Astyanax mexicanus: one gene and its partners. The protein of the gene in region 2 interacts with the protein of the main gene of each other region in a pairwise test. Links are inferred from orthologs where the notes say so. Each region holds a gene or a part of one and is shown on either strand. Other genes may lie near its edges. The genes, in order: tomm70a, prkn and rad1.

What was found.
Region 1: the proteins of prkn (region 2) and tomm70a come close enough for resonance energy transfer, tested with the Homo sapiens proteins (3 studies listed by BioGRID). The link is inferred for Astyanax mexicanus from reciprocal best matches to the Homo sapiens genes PRKN and TOMM70.
Region 3: the proteins of prkn (region 2) and rad1 interact in binary tests that used the Homo sapiens proteins (3 or more experiments, as listed by UniProt). The link is inferred for Astyanax mexicanus from reciprocal best matches to the Homo sapiens genes PRKN and RAD1.

What each region holds. Positions count from the first base shown.
Region 1 is NC_064412.1:47,145,753-47,153,846, forward strand, and holds the start of tomm70a (mitochondrial import receptor subunit TOM70), read left to right. Parts: upstream 1-5,048; 5' UTR 5,049-5,063; coding exon 5,064-5,450; intron 5,451-8,094. Other genes in the region: protein SPO16 homolog, read right to left, coding at 426-504, 1,044-1,215, 1,462-1,555, 3,185-3,229. UniProt on the Homo sapiens protein: Acts as a receptor of the preprotein translocase complex of the outer mitochondrial membrane (TOM complex). Recognizes and mediates the translocation of mitochondrial preproteins from the cytosol into the mitochondria in a chaperone dependent manner.
Region 2 is NC_064414.1:19,273,226-19,280,739, forward strand, and holds the start of prkn (E3 ubiquitin-protein ligase parkin), read left to right. Parts: upstream 1-4,501; 5' UTR 4,502-5,066; coding exon 5,067-5,073; intron 5,074-7,514. UniProt on the Homo sapiens protein: Functions within a multiprotein E3 ubiquitin ligase complex, catalyzing the covalent attachment of ubiquitin moieties onto substrate proteins. Substrates include SYT11 and VDAC1.
Region 3 is NC_064425.1:16,836,197-16,843,268, forward strand, and holds the start of rad1 (cell cycle checkpoint protein RAD1), read left to right. Parts: upstream 1-4,022; 5' UTR 4,023-4,466; intron 4,467-5,134; 5' UTR 5,135-5,155; coding exon 5,156-5,350; intron 5,351-5,446; coding exon 5,447-5,555; intron 5,556-5,714; coding exon 5,715-5,973; intron 5,974-6,902; coding exon 6,903-7,001; intron 7,002-7,072. Other genes in the region: ift20 (intraflagellar transport protein 20 homolog), read right to left, coding at 36-121, 701-827. UniProt on the Homo sapiens protein: Component of the 9-1-1 cell-cycle checkpoint response complex that plays a major role in DNA repair. The 9-1-1 complex is recruited to DNA lesion upon damage by the RAD17-replication factor C (RFC) clamp loader complex.

The DNA of each region.
Region 1 (8,094 bases), on a different chromosome or scaffold from region 2:
TAGTTAATCTAGCTAGCTAACAACATTTGATGGTCTGCTAAACTGTTTAGTTTCCATATCTAGCTACTGTATGTTCAGAGTCCACAGCAGTAGCTACATCAGACTGCATTTAGTGTAAATACAATACAACCATAAACCATTTAATATAAACTGACCAAAAATTCTAACACTAATTCATAGGGAGCAAACTCTTGAAAATAAGGTGGCCACTGGAACTAAGGGCATGAAATCTGCAGAATTATTACTACAAACAGAATATGAAACAGCAAAATCAGAGATGATAGGTTAAGTATAGTAATAAAACAATCGCAAATCTTAAGTAGTAATCACTTTGTTATGTTTTACATTTATATGACACAGGTAAACATCCAGTTGCACACAGGTTTTAGTTTGTAACTAAAATTGAGCATTTTGTGTGTACTTACTTTAGCAATGGTTAGTAATGCCTTCACAATGTCAACATTACTGTGGAGGGGTAAAACCTTCAGATTGCTGCCAAAGAATCTGAAACAAGAAAATATGAGTGTGTACAGTCTGAATTCTACATTAACACCCTTTTAATCTCTCTGTTCTCTGGAATTATGGAGTTCCATCCAATACTTTTGGATAGGATGAGAAGGTATATCGACCTTTGTCGATATAGTGTAGGTCAGTAATTATGGTGACAGACGGCGTCCGGCTAGAACTGCCTATGCAAACAGATAAGTGAATCAAGTACAAATTCCATTCCCATTCAATACAGGCCCTTATATTCCACAGATCTTTAGAGTTTTTTAGCTTTCATGGGACATAGCAAAAGTCATGAGATATGACACTAGCTCCTATTTCATACCATGTGGCATTCTGAGTATAGAAGGTAACCATCATATACGTCTTTCCACCTGCAGCTGCTGTAATATTCTTCAAAAACACTTTTTTATTTTTTATATTATATCATTCTGTCCCACTTGAACACTGTAATACTTCAGTCTAACTCAGAACTATAAATCTACAATATTTTACTTAATATGCTCAGACTGAGATAAATTTATGGATTTATGCACCTCTTCTGCACCGTGGACACAATCTCCCATTCCCTTGCACCGTATACTGGGGACTGAAGCAAGAGGAAGCTGTTTCTATGGACCTGTACGAACTTTTCAATCCGATTAAAGAACTTTGAGCTCTCTGACTTCTCTGGGAACTCCTCTGGAGTGATGAGCATGAATGCTGTTCCTGCACAACACAAAATCCACAGAAGTATAAGAACTAAGTATACTTCTTTATCTTCTTCTATTGTTTAATGGATGATAATTACCTGACTCAACTTCCTGTAATCAATCTGAACTAAATTGGAAGCATTCAAATAAATGTCAATGAAAACAAACAGGACCATGGTTCAGCTGATCTGGTCTAAGACATCCTCTATTGGCCATATTCTGATCACTGATGGTGGTAAAGTGTGCTGTAATATAAAGTTACCTGAGAGAGGAAACACCAATGCTCCATGTTCAACACTGTCTGAAAATCGAAGTCTGTGCTGCTGTGACAAGATCATCCATAAAGCTTCATGATTCTGTAAAGAAATGATGCAACATAAAACAGTTTAAATGTCAGAATAAATATGTGTTTACTTGTTAAAGTACATTTATTCCAATTAAACTTTTGGAGCATTTTTTAATAATATCCTACCTCACCCCCCAAAATGCTAAGGAATTTAATTTCCCAATAATTAAAACATATCATTCTAACAATTTTTTGAGATAGAAAAAATCTAGATTTAAAATCAGAGACGTGAAAACAGGAATTACTTTAAATCTTATTTCTGTAACAACTTTTTTTTCCTATAAAGTAAAGGTATCATGATAGTAAATGATATCAACAACACCTTTCAACATATTGCACAAGAAGCTCAGGTACTACTTTAGATCCTGGACTAGCTTACTAAACTACATTTTTCTTTCAACTGACCTGGGAAACCCATATCATTTTACCCATATAAAGGCATCAGACGTAAAGCCCATTACAAGTTAACATTTATATACCCTTTAAATGATGTTGCCTCTATATGGGTAAAATTATATGGGTAGTGCAGATAATTCCTTTTTTTTTTTAGAATCATTGGCATCTGGTAATGTGGCCAATTTACTGGTTTAAGCATTTTTTATTAGTTTCAAAGCTATATAGCTAAGGTTATACTGGGGTGTAAAGTCTCTGTAAGTTATAAATGTGTAAAACTATATTGGTATAATTAATTTCCAAAAAACTACATTCTACAAACAAAGACATCCAAAGAAGCTTTAACAAGCTAAACAAAACTATTACATTGACAACACATCTCATTCATCAACCAACAAACTTAACTACTTCATTTACTTTGTGTGGAGACAGTTTTGTTTACACAAATAAATCAAATTCACAAGAAATACAATAAAAAGGGTTTAACTTTACCACATTACCTAACCTGGGTTATTTTACACAGAATATAGCCCGATGTGTAATAAAATACAGTGTAGTAACATAAATCTGGTATTTTAAAAAATTAAACTTATTTGGTCGCTAACAGAAAACAGAAATAAGATTAAAAGTAATTCCTGTTTTCACGTCTCTGAATTTAAATCTAGATTTATTCTATCTCAAAAAAATTGTTAGAATGATATGTTTTAATTATTGTGATTAGCCCACGATTTTCTGACAGGATTCGATGATTAGTTAGCCAGCTACGCTAAACTAAACTACACTGAGCTACGCTAGGCAAAGATAAGATAAGCTAAGCTACGGTACACTAAGCAAACTACGCTAAACTAAAATAAGCAACGCTAAACTAAGCTACGCTAAGAAAAGCTAAGGTACACTAAGATAAGATACACTAAGATAAGATACACTAAACTAAGCTACATTAAGGTCAACTGCGCTGCACTAAGCTAAGCTACGCTAAGCTAAACTACACTAAACTAAGCTAAGCTACGCTAAACTATGCTAAAATAAGATAAGCTACGCTGTGCTACGCTAAATTTTGATAAGATAAACTACACTAGGCTAAGATAAATTAAGCTACACAACGCTAAACTAAGCTACACTACACTAGGATAAACTAAGCTACGCAATGCTAAGCTAAGCTAAGCTAGGCTAAGTATGTTCAGCATCCCTGTCTCAAACTCCTACCGTTATAAATAACTAACACAGTAATAATAATATTAACCACCTGAAGCGAGGTGCTGACAATAACAGTGGTCTTCCAGGAGCTCATTGTTTTATCATAAGCAATAAGATAAACCCCTCTACTGTTAACTAGCTTAGCTTTTCTTAGCTTAATTTAGCAGTATGTGTGTCTCTCTGTATTAAATATCATTCCATAATCTCTTTAATCTTCTGTGGTAAATTTAACTTCATCAGTCACGTATATCACGTATATAAACTGACTGCGCTTTGACTCTATAAATCTAACCTGCCTGTAAAAAGCAGGATAGTGGTAATGTGACTTATAAAACAGTGAATTATAAAACAGTGATTTGTCATAATTTATCACTCTTTTGTTAGGTTTAAATATTTTATTACAAAGCTTAGACAAATAAACTGTAACTCGGATCGGTGCCGCCATCTGGTGTTGAAGGCTGGAATCTCATCATATTTAATTTGATTTAGTGCTGTTTTATGTTCAAAACATTTTGTAAATAAAATGTAAATCTAATAAAATATATAAAATACAAAGAGTGATTTCCACTAAAATGTCTCGTTTGGGAATACTCTCAAACTGATCAGCATAAGGTTTTGGCTGTACGGTAAGTGGCACAGCAGCATGTTGGGCAGTGGAAGCGGGGAGACTGCGCCCTCTGCTGGTTCAACACAGATTCACATCTGGAATTGCCTTTCTTTTTAAAAAGGAAATTGGTAATGATATATAATACAAACAAACGTGGTTACAAAAAGCATTAGACACTGGAGCACTATTTAAGAAAATAAATACCCAAAATACTGGGATAAAATACCAAAGTAATACCTCAGATACAAGTAAAAGTACATTAAATCTATTTAATTTTTGTTAATCTCTGCTGCATTAAAATAATGTTGATGCATATCGATTCAACATTCAAATTCAACATTATGGTATGTGTTTTAAATGTATTACATGTCTTTTTATGCATTAAACGTAAATTAAATATGCATAAATAAATATGTGTATCTTGTCTATATTTTATTCTTATAGCTTGGACCATAGCGATTTCAACACACGTGAGGTAATGTTAAGTAAAGATTGTATAAAGGTTGTTTTTTCATTGTCAAAATTAAAATATATGTGATTGAATTTATTGAATATAATTTATTATTAAGAAGAACCTATACAATAAAAAACACAGTTTAAAACATACAACAGACAACAATGACATTGTACAGATTAATTAATATTGGCATATTTGATTATTGTTAATACAGATTATTATTGTAATAAATTTTATTTATTAAAAATTATGCTGCTTGCTCTGTAGTCTTAAAAATGTATAAAGAATGCAACTTTATGATTGGAGTTTCCTATACTTTACAATAATAATAATAATAATAATAATAATAATAATAATAATAATAATAATAATAATAATAATAATACAAATATAGGGATAACCTTCCTGAAAATGTTCAGGACTCCATTTTTAAGTCTAGACTAAACTAAGATTACTTGTTTAGTTTAACTTAAAAAAATAATAATGTTATCCTTTCCGCTGCACACAGTCACTTAGCTTTTTGGACAGTGGAGTCTCAGTGCTGCTTTCACTGTTGGTGTGGCTATCCATCCAAATATATTAGACCTAGGTGAATGTGTAACGATTTAATATTAATTTATAAGTAGTCTGACCAGAGGAAAATGGGAACCCCTTACAAATTAGGCCTAATATTACATGTTATAGCACTTGTGACAGTACAGGGTACACAAGAGCTTTTGTTCCTTCCAGGTTTCTTTTTTTTCAGCTCTGATGGAGCCTTCACTGCTTAATGGGGAACACGGATCACAATCGGTGTTTGTTCAATGTTTTGTCTGATTCTACTGTTAATAATATTAATAAAAGTCTGCGGAAGCTGCGTCACCGATGCACCGGAAGTATCTGCAGTGGGAGTCCTCCGGTATCCCAGCATTCCGCGGCTCGCTGCCCCGCCCCCTCCGGTGGTGCGCGTGCGCGCTGCGGGCGGTAAGTGGTGCGCGTGCGTGCTGGTGCCACTGCTTGTCCTGCTGCTGGGTGTCCGCGCGCGCTATGGCTGCTTCGAAGCCCGTGGAGCCGCAGGCCGGGGGGGCGCTGCCCCGGTGGCAGGTCGCGCTGCTGTTCGGGGCGCCGGTGGCGTTGGGGCTCGGCGCCGCGTACCTGTGGTACCGTAGGCGCGCGGGGGAGAAGCGCGCAGGGGAGCGGAAAACCCCGGAGGGCAGCGCGAGCCCCGTACAGGGCCCGCGAGCCGCCGCGCAGTCCGAGCACGAGGACACGGTGAGAGCCGCTTTTAAAACTTAAAACTAACACACCGTCAGCCCGCCCACCCGGTTCAGGTACCGGACCCGGTATTAGCTGCGGCTGTTACTGAGCTTTAATATGAATACGGTGTAAAAGTGTTCCTAATGTTCTGGGCAGTGTGAGCTATAGGTAAAGGTCGCTGCTGAGGTTTATAATAAATAAACATATCAATAAGATAATTAATATTTTATTAACTGACAGTTTTATGTGTTGACAGGAATGACCAGAACCAGCATAAGATCATTCAGCTCTAATTTCTGTTTTTTTAATTCTGCGCCTTTTAACGTCTCCTAACTGTATAAAAGGGATTTAAGATTTTTAAAAATTTTGTTCATGTTTACAACCGTAAGAATTAGTGATGCGGGAATTCTGGTACGATATCAATATCTAATATTATACATATACAGTATATTTATGCTAATGCCAATATACAGAGAGGGACTACACACCCTGATCGTTATGTCTTTATATCTTTATAAGTACATACATACAAATAAATAAAAAAGATCTTAAATTACTGTTTTTTAAAATAGCATGGCCAGTGACAGCCAATTGTATTGTGTAATTTAAGTATATGTTTTATACTTTTTATTTTATGTTTTATGTATTGTGTTTTACTGCGTACTTAGTGTGATAATGCACACAACTGTACACCTGTACTTGTGTGTTGCAACAATAAATCTGATTTGATTTGTGCTTACAAGTCAACTATCAGTTTGAAATATCAGCTGTTACCATTATAATTTCAGTGCCATCATGCATTCCTAGTAAGACTTTACAAAAATCATATTTCCCATCTTTATCACTTTATTTTCACACCCTGTTACAGCAAGCTACACTACAAGGTGGGCAATTTTAGTTGGAAAATTGGCATTTGTTGTATAAGAAATAGTTTAAAGTGAAGGTTAATGTTCCTCTGTATGTCTGTGTAATTTCTTTGTAATTATATCAGTGGCACAAATTAAAAAATATTGTTTATCACTGTTTTTTCTGTGACAATACATATTTCAAACAAAAATAGTTTTGTGATCAATTTCATCTTAATGTGTGTTTAAATTGGAGCACATTGTCCACATTAGAGTTGTCAGCATGGTTTTGTTTCCAGCTGTTTTGATAGAGGTTCTCTTACAGTTGATAATTAGCTGCTGTCGAGTTAATGAGCCACTGTGGCCCAGTGTCCTGCCGTAATTTACTCTCTTTTGCAGTCTGGTGATGTACTAGTGGGTTATTTACCCCTGCACTGCTACTGACGAGTTCAGAAGTCAATAGTTTTTTACTTCTGCTGAAATATGGATTAAATCTCATTACTATCTCTCTTTCTCTCTCTCCCTCTCCAACACAGACACATACTCTTTCACTCATACATTTTTGGTTGAAAAAATGGATAAACATGCCATAGCCCTTTCCAATCTTTCAGTTTCTCTGCTCATTGTGCTTTCTGCTAATTTTCCTGCTTTTTAATTTCCTCATCCAGAAGTCTAAAAAGTTTTTTTTGTTAACTGTAACTTTATAAAGTAAATAGATAAAGAGATGAGTAGCTTACATCATTCCCCAGCTGCTCAGTGGCTGCTGTGGCTTCAGGCTCATTTGTTTGGTCTGCAGCCATGAAGACGGAGCTGATTTTAACACATCCAACACTACTGAAAATACAACGTTAATGAGTGGCACAGTCTGTCAGTTTCAGATTCAGTTTGAAAATCATCAATAACATGCACGTCTTCATTTTTAAAACTTGACAATCATATTTGTTTAATCAGTAAAATCAGATGTGATGTGAAAAGGCTTTAAGGTTACCAAATTTTCTATTTTACCTGTTCAACCCCCTGTTTATCTGTTAACGTGGTGTTTAACAGTAGGAGTAGTTTAGCTGGTTAGGGTGAGATCTGCGCTGTGGTTCATTTCCTCCTTTAAAGCTTCTGTATCTGTGGGCAGGTGCAGTAGTCACACTGCAAGATATGCTGTTAGCTACAGTGATAAATTATATCATGCACAGAATGTTGCATTTGAAAGGAATATTTTCCATGACATATACTCATCATTTTTGTTACTCAGTTACTACCGTATTATTGTTTATTTAATTGACTTCTGGTGAAATCTTTAAATTCCTGTAGTTTTAATGAGAAACGTTTTCATTTTTGGAGTCTTACAGCCCTGGTTATTGTTGAATATAATGGGACTGGTGATGTTGGACGGGTTCAGTGAAAGTTCACTGGGTGATGTTTCACTGACCTTAAAATCAGCTTTAACCAAAACTCTTAACTCCTCCTGACTGACGAATGACTGGATTACACACACATGAACGTACTAGAGCGTAAGAATATCAGCTTTACACGACTGCAGAAACTAGTGGGCGTGGTCTGTCATGGTCTTTCATTGTTTTTTTCCTACTTAAACACTACTTTGTACTCTAGTCTGATTATTTCTAATTAATTATTTAAGAATTTTTCCTCACTGACAGAATCTGTTTCCACTCAAGGGCGGGTATGTCCCGCTGCAGAATGAGTGCAATAAATTTCCCTCAGATCCCTTTTAATTATGTTTATAAATAAGGGTTAATCTACAGTTACAGTAGATACAGAATTGGCAGCACCGCAATCTGTTGGACTGCTGCATGATGCGC
Region 2 (7,514 bases):
CCTGCGATGGAGAAACACAGTTACACAAGAACTGGTGCTTACGTTCTGTTCATTGCAACCTGCTTAGAAATACATTCAGATTGCACAGTCCTAATTTCCAAACCACTTTACAGAGATTTTTAAAACGCTCTCAGCTGAACAGACAAAATAAAATAAAAAAAATGAATTCCATCATTTTTAAGTGCCTAATTATACCCTTCATCCACTCGCAAAAGTATCTGACATTTGAAATCAGAATAACACAATAATAATAATAATAATGCATACTGAAATTCTTAAAATCCGGCAGCACCCTTTTACAGCAAAATGATAATGTTCTATCAGGCTGACATTTCTACACCCACACTGAATCTACACAGGTTTTATATAAAGGTGACACCCTGTGGGACAGGCCAGAGCAAAAGGGGCAAATTAACCTAATTTTTGCTAAATTACTTTGGTCACTTTTTCCATTTGCTTTACCCAGAAAGGAAAATATCACTCCCAGAACATGGAGCGTAGGATCAACAATAAGACTAAATCACGCTCCATTGTTCTTAAAGTTATCTGTTTGTTTTTTTTTCAAAGCTATCAGTTATTTCTGGAAAAGCAAACGTCTGAAATTACAGTTACTCCCTGAAGGGAAAAGGCAAAAAGGGCCAAATATTATAATCTGCCATCTCGCTCATTAATATGCAAATTGAATCGTGTTTAGTCAATCATTTTACGGTGCAACTTAGGTTGTAATATGCCACATCATATTTGAAGAGATGCAGAAAACATTACATTGATGCTGTTTCAATTTGAATATTAATGAGGTTTACATCATTTACCGTTTCCACAGATTTAACAGGTCCATGCATTTATTAAAGGCTGCAGAGCCGACGTCTCCGCAAGACACACGCGCAAACAGGGCAAGCTGTTCTGGGACAGATCTAATCCTGCTTTCACGTGTTAAATCGCTTCATCTCTGAATGTGCTATTAAAATGTAAACACAGATCCTGCACACTGAAATCTGTATGACACTGTGAACCTTCTTTAATAAGATCTGGTAAGCCTAAAGCCTCAAAATGTGGGGTTTGCATTTAACAATGCACTGTGCACAATATACTTTTCTCTAAAGCATAAAAACCCACAGTGCTCACTATAATGTCTAAGGACCTGTATAGATTATATCTCACTGGTTTTATTTCCTGGATTGCAGGAAATAAAAAAATAATAAAATAAAAGTATTAAAAAATACCATCACAAAGAGTCCAACAATAAAAAGTATTATTGGGAAAATTCAGTATATTATCTATAGATCTTAGATAAAGAAACAGCCTTTTTAGGTACAGTCTAGCACATGTGCCATAGCCACCTGGCAAGTGATAAGCTTGTTTACTCAATTTCCCAGCTGTCTTCTAGAGCAACAGTTAGTCATCATTATCTATATTGTATATATGTCAAAAACAAATTTATTTCTTTATATTTTTATATTTTATAAGTAGACCACACTACACAACTTGGTGGGGAGAGTTAAGGGCTGCTCACTCAGTTTACACTCGGCTAGGTCATCAAAATCCGATTACATATTTACTCACTAAATATTAGAACATTTCACAATTAAAAGGCTTCCTGTCATTTAAATGGCACTTAAATTCTACGTTAAACAGTTTCTATAATTTTCAAGCAATAGAGAAATCTAGAAAATGACTTTTTAAGGTATGGGAATGAAAACCTAATGTGTGGGAATGAGATCCTAATGTGTGGAACGAGAAAATAAAGTCATAGCCAGGACTTAATAAGGCGTGGGAACGAGTTAATTCAATCGTAGCCATTAAGGCGTGGCCACAAGATCCTTTTGTTCCTAAACAAAGCAAGCAACTCTCAGGGGTTGTGCTCAATATAACTGCCCAAGGAAGGTAAACAGGTCTGAATACTTTCTGCGTCTGAGCCAATCAGTTTTTAGTATGAGAATTTAATGTGTCTTTTACTTAGATTTATGACATATCTCACTGCAAGAGACTCCAAAATACCACCATAATTAATTCCAAAATGAAAATGAAGAGAAACTTTTTTTTTTTTTTTTTTTTTACAAAATATTATACCTGGATTGGAGCTTTGAAGTAATTTTCAGTCTTCTTCATGGACATTAATTTAGTGAAATGAAAGCTGTATTATTTTCTGGCTAAGACTTAATTATCTCATTCCCACACCTAATAAGTTGTGGCCACACCATAGGATCTCATTCTCTTGGCTTAATAAGTCATAGCCATGCATTTTTGACACCATTATGACACCTTAGGGGTTCCGTGAAATCAACAATACTGCACTGTTCTTAAAACTGAACGTTCTACACTTGAAGTAAAGGAATCTGATGTAGTATATAAACAAATGTGTTCATTTACAATGTACTGTATACATGAGTCTATATACTGAAAACTGAGTAAAAAGTGAGGAAAAAAAATATTCCCAATTATTATTATTGTCAAGAAAGTGTTTAATCATTGGGGAAGCACCGATGTGGGAATTCTGGGCTCTATGCCGATATCCGATATCATACATGTAGATATCTGCCGATGCCAACGCCGATATACACATTTATAACTTACAGAGAGACTAAACACCCAGTATATTTTTATATCTTTAAAAGTAATAAAAAAATCAATGAATTTTAAAGTAGAGCAGCCAGTGCCGGCAAACTGTAGTAGTATGGCTAGCGTTGTTCGACACTAATCAGCCAATACTAATGTTTATATAAAAAAAAAACATTTATTATTGGCAGATACTTATATAATCTCAATATCATCATGCATCCTTATTATTTACACATGAAAAGTAGTATTGCACAATGTTCTGTGATATACTGTACACTCATCATCAAAAAAACTGTTGCAACCAGAGGGAATGAGTGGTCAGGTATGAACGTGGAAGGTAGTCAAGCAAGACAGTCATGGAGTGATTCAGAATGAAATCAACATCTCCATAAAAGTTGTCAGCAGAGGAAAGCATAAAGTGCTGTGGGATTTCATGGGAAAACACTGCACTGACTTGATAAAACACAGTGGATCAACACCAGCAGATGACATGTCTCTCCAAACCATCACTGATCATCAGTAAATTTTGCAATTAATTTGGAAATAAAGGAAGCAGAGTCTGGAGGAAGAGTGGAGAGACACAGTCCAAGCTGCTTGAGGTCTAGTGTGAAGTTTCTACAATCAGTGATGGTTTGGAGAGACATGTCATCTGCTGGTGTTGGTCCACTGTTTTACCATGAAATCCCACAGCACTTCATGCTTTCCTCTGCTGACAACTTTTATGGAGATGTGGATTTCATTTTCCAGCAGGACATGCCATACTGCCCACACTGCCAAAAGTACCAATTGGTCTTATATAATATTCTTATTTTCTTAACACTGATTTTGGGGGTTTCATTGGCTGTAGTCAACAATAAAAGTAATAAACCATTAAAATAGATCACTCTGTGTGTAATACATCTATATAATAGGAGTTTCACATTTTGAACAGAATTACTAAAAATAAATTATCTTTTCAATAATATTCTAATTTTTTGAGATATATATATTACAGCTCTGGAAAAAAATAAGAGACCACTTAAAAATAATGAGTTTCTTTGATTTTTACCAAAATTAAAACCTCTGGAATATAATCAAGAGGAAGATGGATGATCACAAGCCATCAAACCAAGCTAAACTAAGAGTGGCATATCCAAAAGCAGTGTGTAAGACTGGTGGAGGAGAACATGCTGAGATGCATGAAAACTATGATTAAAAACCAGGGTTATTCCACAAAATATTGATTTCTGAACTTTTAAAACTTCATGAATATGAACTTGTTTTCTTTACATTGTTTTAAGGTCTTAAAACTTATTTTTGGTTATTTCAGCCATTTCTCATTTTCTCCTCTAAATAAATAAATAAATGCTCTAACTGACAATTTTTTTATTTGGAATTTGGGATAAATGTTGTGCGTAGTTAATCGCATAAAACAATGATGTTCATTTCACTCAACCATATACCTATAAATAGCAAAATCTGAGAAAATGAACTGAAGTGGTCTCTTTTTTTTCTTTTTTTCCAGAGCTGTATATATTCAATCCCTGTCTTTAATAAAAATGTAATATAACAGTATGAATGGGATTTTTTACAAATGTGCTATTTTGCACTGTGTATATTTATTCTGCCACTGGTTAAATAATAAATTACTATTAAATATATTAACAAGGCAAAATATAGCTTAGCTTAGCTGTATCTGTTTCTGTGTGTTTTAAGCTAACGCTGCTGCTGCTGCTGAAGCGGTTCACTGAGCATCACAGCATCAGTGGAAACCCCACCAAAACAGCAGCCGAACACACACACACCTCCTCCCCCTGCATCAGTGAAAACACACACACGCAACACACAAGCTCTCATTCAGCAGCTTTACTGTCATTTCTAACGTGTAAAATCTCTGTACAGCGCTAACACACGGCTCTGAGCGCGCCTGTGAGGGTGTGAATACTCTGCAGTCTTACATAACTATCAACAGCGTCACTCCGCGCCAGCTGACCCGCTAAACAGTCGCTCCGCGGGGCTTCATGGCCGAACTGAACCGCACCAACACCGGACACTCCCTGCATCATTCCCCGGGTACTGGACGCGATTAAAACCGGAGCTTCAGTCACAAAATCCACATAAATAAGAGGTTAAACAGCGCGTTAGCACCATCTGTTCGCTGCACAGTTCTCCATATCCACAGTTCCGTCAACACACCGAGCGCTGAACGGCACTAGCGGAAATGTAGTGTCTCTCCACATAACTCCCTCTCTTATTTACTTTGTTTAACCTCAATAAATGCTTCTATTTAATCACAAAACATAGAAAACAATAGGTAATTTATATGCTATGACTTGGGATACCTATATTTGCGTGTAAGTCACTTGATCTGTCAGAGTAAACTATGTTCTGGACTCCATTTCCCAGACTCCCCCGCGGTCTCGTACACGCTCAGTATCATGGTTGAACAGTGTTGTGAATAAAGTCACCCTGTGCTGGAGTTGAGCTGAGCGGAATGAGACTCTGCTGCTGCTGAACGAGTCCTCATAATGATCGGTAAGTCATAACTGAAATTCAGCGTGTTTGTGTTTTGTGAGCGCGGTCGGCTGTGTGTCCCGCGCGCTGGAGTTTTATAAAGCTGTGTTTGTGTTGTGTTTGTAGCACAGCCGCTGCCCGGTCGAGTCTATAAACAAAGTGAAGTTAATTATTTTACTACAGCCAGGTAGGATTATCGTGTTCAGGTCAGGACAGGAATGCTAAAACAGCGTTTACTGATAAAACGCCCCCAAAAGTCAGTATAAACACTGTAGGTGCGCTGGGTCGTTGACATTTGGAGCCCGAGTCTCGCGAGACTTTGAGGAAAGACTTTGAACCAAAGGAGAAAAAGCTTATGCTCTTTATGCTTATTTTTACCTGCTTAATCTGTATTTCAGTACATTTTATAAAAAACAACAACTATACTTTATTTGGCTGTGCTAATTGTGTACTAGTGATGTAACTTACTAAATAAAAATATATGCTTAGTATTATTTTATGAAACTGTGCTTTTTTTATTAAAATTAATAAAATTAATAAACATTTTTTATAAAACTGCTTTTACTTAATTTGTTCTCTGAGCCTAAATTTCTGCAACAAAACTGTACTTCAGTGAAATTTGCTACTAAAACATTAATTTTGTGTTGACAAATTAAAAACTCATACTGAACTTTTATGTGATAAAATTGTCCTTAAAAAGTTTACATTGTTTTGCACTATAAGGCGCACTTAAAATTTTTCAATTTCCCCAAAATCGTCAGCGCAACTTATACTTTGTGCACCTTATGTATGAAATTTTCAGTCAGGTTGTAAGGAGCAGTAAAGCCACCCCGCTGAAGCACAGCTTTATACAGGAGTTTTAGGCTGTGACCGAAATGGCTCACTATTTACTAGTTAGGGCACTATTGAGTGTATCAGCCATTTTTCTTAAATCGTAAGGGGGAATTCGAACGTAATTTTGAGGGCACTAAAAACTCCCATAATGCATCTTGATTTATAGTAAACATCGCTTCTTACTAAGCGAGTTAAATGTGTCCAAAAATGCATTGCGGGTCTCGATACTAAGCAACAGACAGCCGAAGAAACTGAGAGGACAGCGAGCCACCACGGTTGCCAGATTGTTACAGTGGGATTCAGATAAAACAAATTCACTGGGTAAAACGTGTTTTAAATCCGCCAAAATACTGAGAAAACCACCCAAACAGCTGATGTTCTTCATATCAACAATATAACAGGGTTTATTCCAACATGATCTTAAATAAAATACCTGAGGTCTCACTTATTACAAAAAAAAAAAAACGATATTTAACTGAGTTTATCTGCATGTTTGTATTCTGTGTTTTGTGCCTTGTATCATTGGACACACGAACCAAAAAAAGAAGTATAGTACATAAAAATAAGCTTGCAAGCAATGAAAGAAGTAAATACTCACATATAATAACAAGCATAAACACAGCTTCAAATCAGCAGGACTAAAAGCTCTGTCTGTCTCTGCCAGGTTAGATTTTTAACTACAGCACTGGTGAGTTCAATTCCCAAACTCTTAGTACAGCATTTCCTCCATAGAATTTCAGACACAACTCGACCTTTGGCATGAAACCACCCAATCTGGCAACACCCGAGCCGATGTATTCTGTTAATTTCAGGTTTTCTTCATGTAATTCAATAATGTGAGGATTATCTTTTAAACAGTGTAAATATACAGGCAGAGAAATGACTTCATGATCAGCTCAGAGCTTCACTAACTTTAATTCATAGATCAGTTCAGTGTGTTTATGGAGTTTTAAACATGACTCAACCCTCTCTCACCTGTGTGTGTGTTTATGCGACCGGTGCTGGGGCATGATAATAAGTTAGTGTCCGAATTCACTCCTGTTTTACCACTACTTAGTGAACTACATAGTGTCTCCCTAAATAGCGCAACACTAATGAGGGAGTAGGGAGCCATTTCGGTCACAGCCTTAGTTTAGTTCTCTGGAGCAGTATTAGCATTAGCCGCTACACTTGCTGAGTGCTAGCTCTTTGGCCGTTCAGAGTTGAGTATTATCGGCCTGTAGCCTGCTGCTAACGCTGGATACCACTGCTGGAGCAGCATCAGCATTACCTGCGAACCACAGCTCTAGCACTTTTGCCGTTCAGATGGGAGTAAACTGGACTGTAGCCTGCACGTTAACCGTATTAAAACAAACTACGTGGAACAAACCGCTAGCTGATATCGCCCTGTCTTACTGGAGCACTCTGGGTTCCTCAGTGTAGCGCTGTCAGGTGGCATTAGCCGCTAACCGCTAATTCTCCAGCTTTTGTGGAAACCTGGAAATTTAAGCTTACTGTAAATAAACGGAACCACTTTACTCACCCAAATAAACAGTTTTTAGCAGAGAAATTTGTTTAGATTAACATGCAGCACTTGTTTGCTTGAATTTTTTTTTCCTTTTTAATTAGTTTTGTTTACTTAGCTTAGC
Region 3 (7,072 bases), on a different chromosome or scaffold from region 2:
ATCATTAAACTGTCATCTTAATGGCACATACGTACCTTCATTTTTTCTTTTTCTGCTTCCTTGGCCAGTTCATCCACCATCTCAATGAGTCCACCCACTATTTTCTGAAACTGGCCAATTTCTGTTTTCCAAGAAATGAAATGAAATCAGTTTAATTAAAGCTGTTATCTGACAAGTGGTGGAGAGTAAGAAAGTGCACATGCAGTTACCCAGTGCAAACACCAAACCTTTCAACATCAGGGCAACAATGTTAAATGTTTGTCTACTTAATTGATTTAATATATGAAAAATATAGATGCATTTTTAAAGACTGTAAGTTTTTATTAAATTTGTAAAAAGTTTGCAAAAAGTCTTTAAAGCCACTTGGTTCTGTCTCATGGTAATTCATTTCCATCAGTGTTCTGTGTTCAGACTTTAAAGTATTTAACAGGTTATTTTACATGGGATGGACAGTAATTCAAATTGAGTATATATCAGAATGTTTCAATAATGGTGATATGATGTTTAAACACTTGTTGATTTCAACAATCATAATTGTTTTTGGGTACCGTTGTGGACATTCTTGGCAGTTTTTCTACTGAACTGATCTAAATTAATTAATACATTGTGATAAATTTGATTGTGTACATTTTGGCCCTTATTAACATGATAATAAAAGTGTTAAAAGTCTGGAAATAAATTATAATACAGCCATACTTACTGTCAACAAATTCTTTGCACTCCTCTTTAAGCTCTGTGGTCTTCTGACCAACATCAGGTTCAAGTATTCGTAGCTTATTAAGTTCATCGAAGTGAAGCCCAGCTTCTGCCAGTGGATCTTTAGCCATGACCTGAGGCCAGCCAATCACTGATTAGGTCCAACTGTTGAGAAGCAACAGAAGATTACAGTCTTTTTAAACTGTGAGTCAGTTGTGAGAATAAATGTAAACTTTTCTTTTCTTTAAGGTTTAAACTGATGATTAAAACAGGACTTAATGAGACATATGGTACAGATCAACTACAGTAGAGAAAAGTAAAAAAGTTAAAAAATAAATAACACTTAGAGACATTTGATCTGATTAGTAACTAATGTTATGGGCAGGTTTAAATCTCTATAACATAAAGTATTATACGAAAAGCCTTTATTAATCCCACAGCAGGTTAATTCACAATGTTACAGCAATGCAAGGGACAGACAGAATTGTCAGGAAAGAGAACAAAAGAGAACATAACAATAATAAAAATTATAGACCTAAAAACAGATTAGATAAAGCATGGTTACCCATCTCTTATGATAGGCAGTGACCAATATTTTTGTAGATAAGCTGACAGTAAATAAATATACAATTCAAGTTCTGACTACCAATAATATAATGAATATAATAAAATATATTTTTATTAGTAATCATTTTTCTGTTACTAATAACTGTGACAATTATAGGCATGTATACACTGAAATACTAGTACTTCAGTGTACTAGTAACATTTTAATTATAGATAAGAGATAGTAAAGGTCATTGTAAATGAATATTGTAAATCAATAGTAACACATGACAGGTCAGAAAAGCTTTATAGATCTATTGATCTGTAGATCTGATATTATTACTAGTAAACATTTCATAGGTGACATCTGAAATAAGTAGATTCTGTATGAGTTAGTAAAATCTGGTGTCATCTTATACTAGGGGTGGGCAATATGAGCCTAAAATTATATCAGGATATTTCAGGATAACATTATTTTTGGGGATATGACAAAACAATAAATAAAATAATAAATTTAAGAATACACTACTGCAAGAAAATTAATATTAAAATGTATTTGCCAATATAATTGTATACCATATGATATGGTGCACCCCTAATTGGCATTTTTACCAGACTGTAATAGAAGTCAATGATGCAACATGTCATAATACTAATAATGCACTCCAAATATCTTCATATATCTAGTAAAATAAATAATATTGGACAGATATAATCTGTCTCTAATAGACTTTATTGGGAAATAAGACCTATGGGAATTTTCCTTTTACTGAAAAAATCACAAAATTGTACCATAATGCCCATATGGCCCTAAAATTAAATAATACAGCTCTGGAAAAAAATAATTGACCACTTAAAAATTATTTTCTTTGATTGATTTTAAAAAAATTAAAACTTCTGGAATATAATCAAGAGGAAGATGGATGAACACAAACCATCAAACCAAACTGAACTGCTTGAATGTTTGCACCAGGAGTGACAAAGTTATCCAAAAGCAGTGTGTAAGAATGGTGGAGGTTTTCTTTAAATTATTTGAGGTCTAAAAGCTCTGCATCTTTTTTGTTAATTCAGTCATTTCTCATTTTCTGCAAATAAATTTTCTAAATGCCAATATTGTTATCTGGAATTTTGGAGAAATGTTGTCTGTAGTTTATAGAATAAAACAACAATGTTCATTTTACTCAAACATTTACCGATAAATAGCAACATCAAAGAAACTAATTCAGAAATTAAAGTAGTCTCTTATTTTTTTCCAGAGCTGTATATCAGGGTATTATCTACCACCTATCTTAGACTATTTGTAGGTTATCTGAGCAGCTGGGTGACATATGGCTGCTGATCAACTGGTGTTGGTATAGTGAGGATTCCTGATCACATTAAAACAGAGTATCTAAACGGAACTGACTAAACTGACAGCCTGTAAAGCTGCAGTTTCTTAGCTCTGCTCTCTGATCCGCCGAGTTTAACATCAGTTTACAGAGCTTCTCTCACAACACAACAACTCAGCTAATCACAACAATCAGCTAGCGGGGTTAGCAACGCAGCTATCGAGTAAACCCACCACAAAAAACACACTGTATTTAACATTATAAACCGCTTTATTTACTATAGAAAGTGAAGGAATCTCCACACATACCCGCTAAGCTGAATTAATGGAGATATGCTGATCTCGCCGGTCTCTTCGCCGTTTTCTCCGCTCGCCGCTTCTCTCGGTTATGTGGCAGAAAGACTCTCCAGATCAGAGATTCTCTACTGAGGAGAATTCCCACTACAGAACGTGTTCCGGGTTCATCACAGCACCAGAGGGCGCTCAAAATCATAGTTTATGTTTAATATGTCTAATAAAAATCATACTAAAAATATGTTAATTTCCTCAATACAGAACCATATTTAAATAATGTTTAACGCCCTTTATTGCCAGTTACAAACCTTTTAAATGTGTTATGGACGTCTTTGTTACCGCATAAGCTTGCTAAACAGTCATCTCACTGTAACTAGAACAGTGCAATGTTTACCCGTAATTTTCAGACCATTTAAGGCTAAATACAATTTCCCCCCACATGCTATAGTAAAGGCCATTTTCGTTTTACATTTCGGCCTTCCATAATCTAAAATTTCACAACAAAAAAAAGAAATGGACCTTTACAAAATTTTAAATCCAAAAAAAGGTAAAAAAAAAAAAAAAAAAAAAAAAGGTAAAATCCAACCTTATAATACTAGATGAAAAATTAAAGAATTGAGTAAAGGTTTATTTTTTCATTTTCCCTAAATTTAAGATTTCTTTTTATTAAACCCATTTCTTTTTATTAAACCAGATGGAAAAAAATGAAATAATGAAAAGTAACGCCCAATTCTTTATTTTTTTTTATTATTTAGCCTTAAACAATCATAAAGTGATCAGCATTACATTGATGCATGCAATTTGTTGTCCAAAAATATTTGTTGTAATAACGTAGAAAATACGGGTACGTTTATTTGCTTGATTAACAAATTTATTCAATTAGTCAATTTACTTTTTACGTTAATGTAATATCCGGGACACGTAGTTAATTAATCATTTTAATTTGAGTTTTTAGCTGTTTAGCTCCATTCACCCCCATTCATTTTGGACTCCCTCGCGGGCTCCCTCTAACGATTTGCACTTATTTTCTGATATAATTAGAAGTGGGCAGGCTCTCCGTAAACCGGCTCTGCTCCAGATGATGAGATTCCGTCCCCGCCCCGAAGAGTCTCTGCCGCTGCCACGGCGACCGGCGGATCAGTGCACTGCCCCGTTAAACCGGGGGCCAAAACAAAACAATAGATTTACGCGTTTAAAAAATGTGTTCCTATAATGTATATAACACTTTATTTTGTACTATAACTCTATTAAATGTCTGTAACACCAATATCCCATAATATATGTTCCCTATTTTACATTGCCCACAGCATTCACACAGTGCTGTGTTCCTGGACATTCAAAAACGTCCCAAAAAAGTATTTATAGACTTAATAGTATTTATACAGATTTATTCAAGGCCTTTATACGTATTCTTTGGGAATCATATCAAATCCATTAAAAGTTTTAGTAGGACTTTTATTATGAAAAGCCTCCCGGTATCTCCAACACTGCAGGGGGCAGTGGAGCTGCTGAGAAAAAACGGAGAAGAAGAACACGAGCAAAACATTCAGCGCCACAAATCAGCCCTCTTACTGAAACTACATGTAGTTTAATACACACTGAGGTAAGATCTAAAACTGGTTATTATTTCGGCACACACACACAGTTGATGCAGATATTTGGTGGAATAACGCTGTTTTTTAATCACAGTTTTCATGCATCCTGAGTTAATCACAATTTCCTTTGGGTTTTTGGCCATTTTTGACAGGCTGCTCAAACTGTTTTAAAAGTTTCCTGAGATCACTTTAGTGTTGCTGTTTAATGTTTAACAAATGTCTAGCTAACATTAGAAGTTAAATAACAATTAACAAAAATGTTTAGCTTGCTACTGCTTTGCTTTTAGTTTTTTTTTTTTATATGAGTAGAAGTAGGTAGCTAACAAGCTAATATTAATGCTTTATGTGTTCGACAGCCCAGTGGGGTGGAGCAGTATGTCTGTGTTAAAAACTGCAATATTATTTTTTTGTATTAATTATCTATTAATAAATAATCTATTTATATCAATAGGGCATTTGTTAATATTGTACAGCTCTAACCTCAACCCCTACATTTAGTGCCAGGAAAACAATTCAGTCTTTAAGCATATTTATATAAATTTCAACAGCCATGTTTTATGGTCCTATTTGATTTACCAAAAATATGCTATTATATGGTAAAATATACTATGGACATAAATATGGACCCTGGACTACAGAGTCTCAGTTTTAACTATCTTCTATAATGTCATTGCAGGTGTTTTCTGTGATCAGAAGAATGCCTTTGTCAACTCAGTCTCAACCAGAGAATGATGAGTACATCCTGATAGCTAGTTTGGATAATGTGAGAAACCTTTCTAACATCTTAAAAGCAATATCCTTCAAAGACCATGCAATATTCAATGCGACGCAGAATGGGTTAAAAGTAACCGTAGAAGACTCCAAATGTCTTCAAGCAAATGCGTTCATTCAGGTCAGTGTTCAGAATGAGACATTAAGAATTCTCAAAAACACTCAGTTTTAAATGCATTTTGACTGTAATTGATTGTGTGGTTTTCTCATCCTGCAGGCAGACATTTTTCAAGAGTTCACACTTAAAGAGGATGTGGTTGGGTTTCAGGTTAACCTAACTGTGCTTCTGGATTGTCTCACCATCTTTGGAGGAAGCACAGTGCCAGGCACGTTTCTATGATAAATAATGATTAGATATAATAATGCACTGTTAGTGTAGTTGCATCACTGATTGAGCTAAAACAACATTAAAAACATATTGTAATTAAACTGTTTATGATTTTATCTTGATGGATCATACATTCTCTCTCTTTAAAAAAATGAAGGAGTGATGACTGCCCTGAAAATGTGCTACAATGGTTATGGCTATCCATTGACCCTGTTCCTGGAGGAAGGAGGAGTGGTTACTGTTTGCAAGATTAACACCCAAGAACCAGAGGAACCCTTAGACTTTGACTTCTGTAGCACCAATGTGACCAACAAGGTCATACTTCAGTCAGACAGCCTGAAAGAGGCTTTCTCAGAACTGGACATGACCAGTGAGATCCTGCAGCTAACAATGTCACCCAGTCACCCCTATTTCAGGTACAGAAACACTATGCCTTGTCTTATTGGCAATGATATTGACCAAGAGTGGGGGACATTTTTGTGTCTTACATACATTCAGCTCGATTCGGACGTGGGCGATTCTGTATCGATTCATAAATGCTAAAAATCGATTTAGACTTGCCAACATGTACGAATTTTGCATGCATGTTCTAAAATACGCATAACATTTGATCTCGCATTTCCCTGATGTTCTCCTTCCCTGTGTGAGTCTGTTTTCTGCCGCTCACGCTGTCAAGCTGGGTTTTTTTTACTACGATCATTAATCCAGCAAGCTACCTATCAAGCCATCCGCTACTTTCCTCCAAACTGTCGATACACCGTCACTATGCTGAAGGCACTTTTTTGTACTAATCATCTGGTTAATTAAAAAAAACTATGCTTTTTTAAGGATATATTATGGATCATTACAGATGCTCTACTTCATTAATATTCATACAATGAGAACAAATAAATCCTGTATAAAAGAAATAGATGCATCAAGACGAATCGAGAAACGTTTTATAATCTAATCGCAGACCTCTGAATTGTATTCAAATCGTAAGGTGCCTAGAGATTCCCACCCCTATTATTGACCTATTATTGATTTTGTTGACAATCTCATTAGGTTAGATTTGTGCATCTGGATAAAAACTAGCCTGTTATCTAATAAACATGTTTACATCATGGAATATTTTGGGCCCTTTAAAAGTAAGTATGGGCACATAAAAAAAAGATAAAATAATAAAAATTATGTTTTTTTCATGTTGCATTATGTTTTTTTATGTTGTATGTATAATAATTAGCCCTGTTTAACTAGTTGTTTTCCAAAGCTTTATCACATTTAAAACACTGCCTAAAACTCAATACCATATTATATTACTAATATCAAACAATATAAATAATTAATTTGATTGTTTTCCCCCCAGATTGTCCACATTTGGAAATTCTGGAAATGCCCATTACGACTATCCCAAAGACTCTGAAATGATGGAGCTGTTCCAGTGTACAAAGACACAAACCAACAGGTAAGAAGACCAAACTTTGTAATGACTAGAAGGTTAATTTCCAAATTAAAATGATCAAATCAGATTTGTTC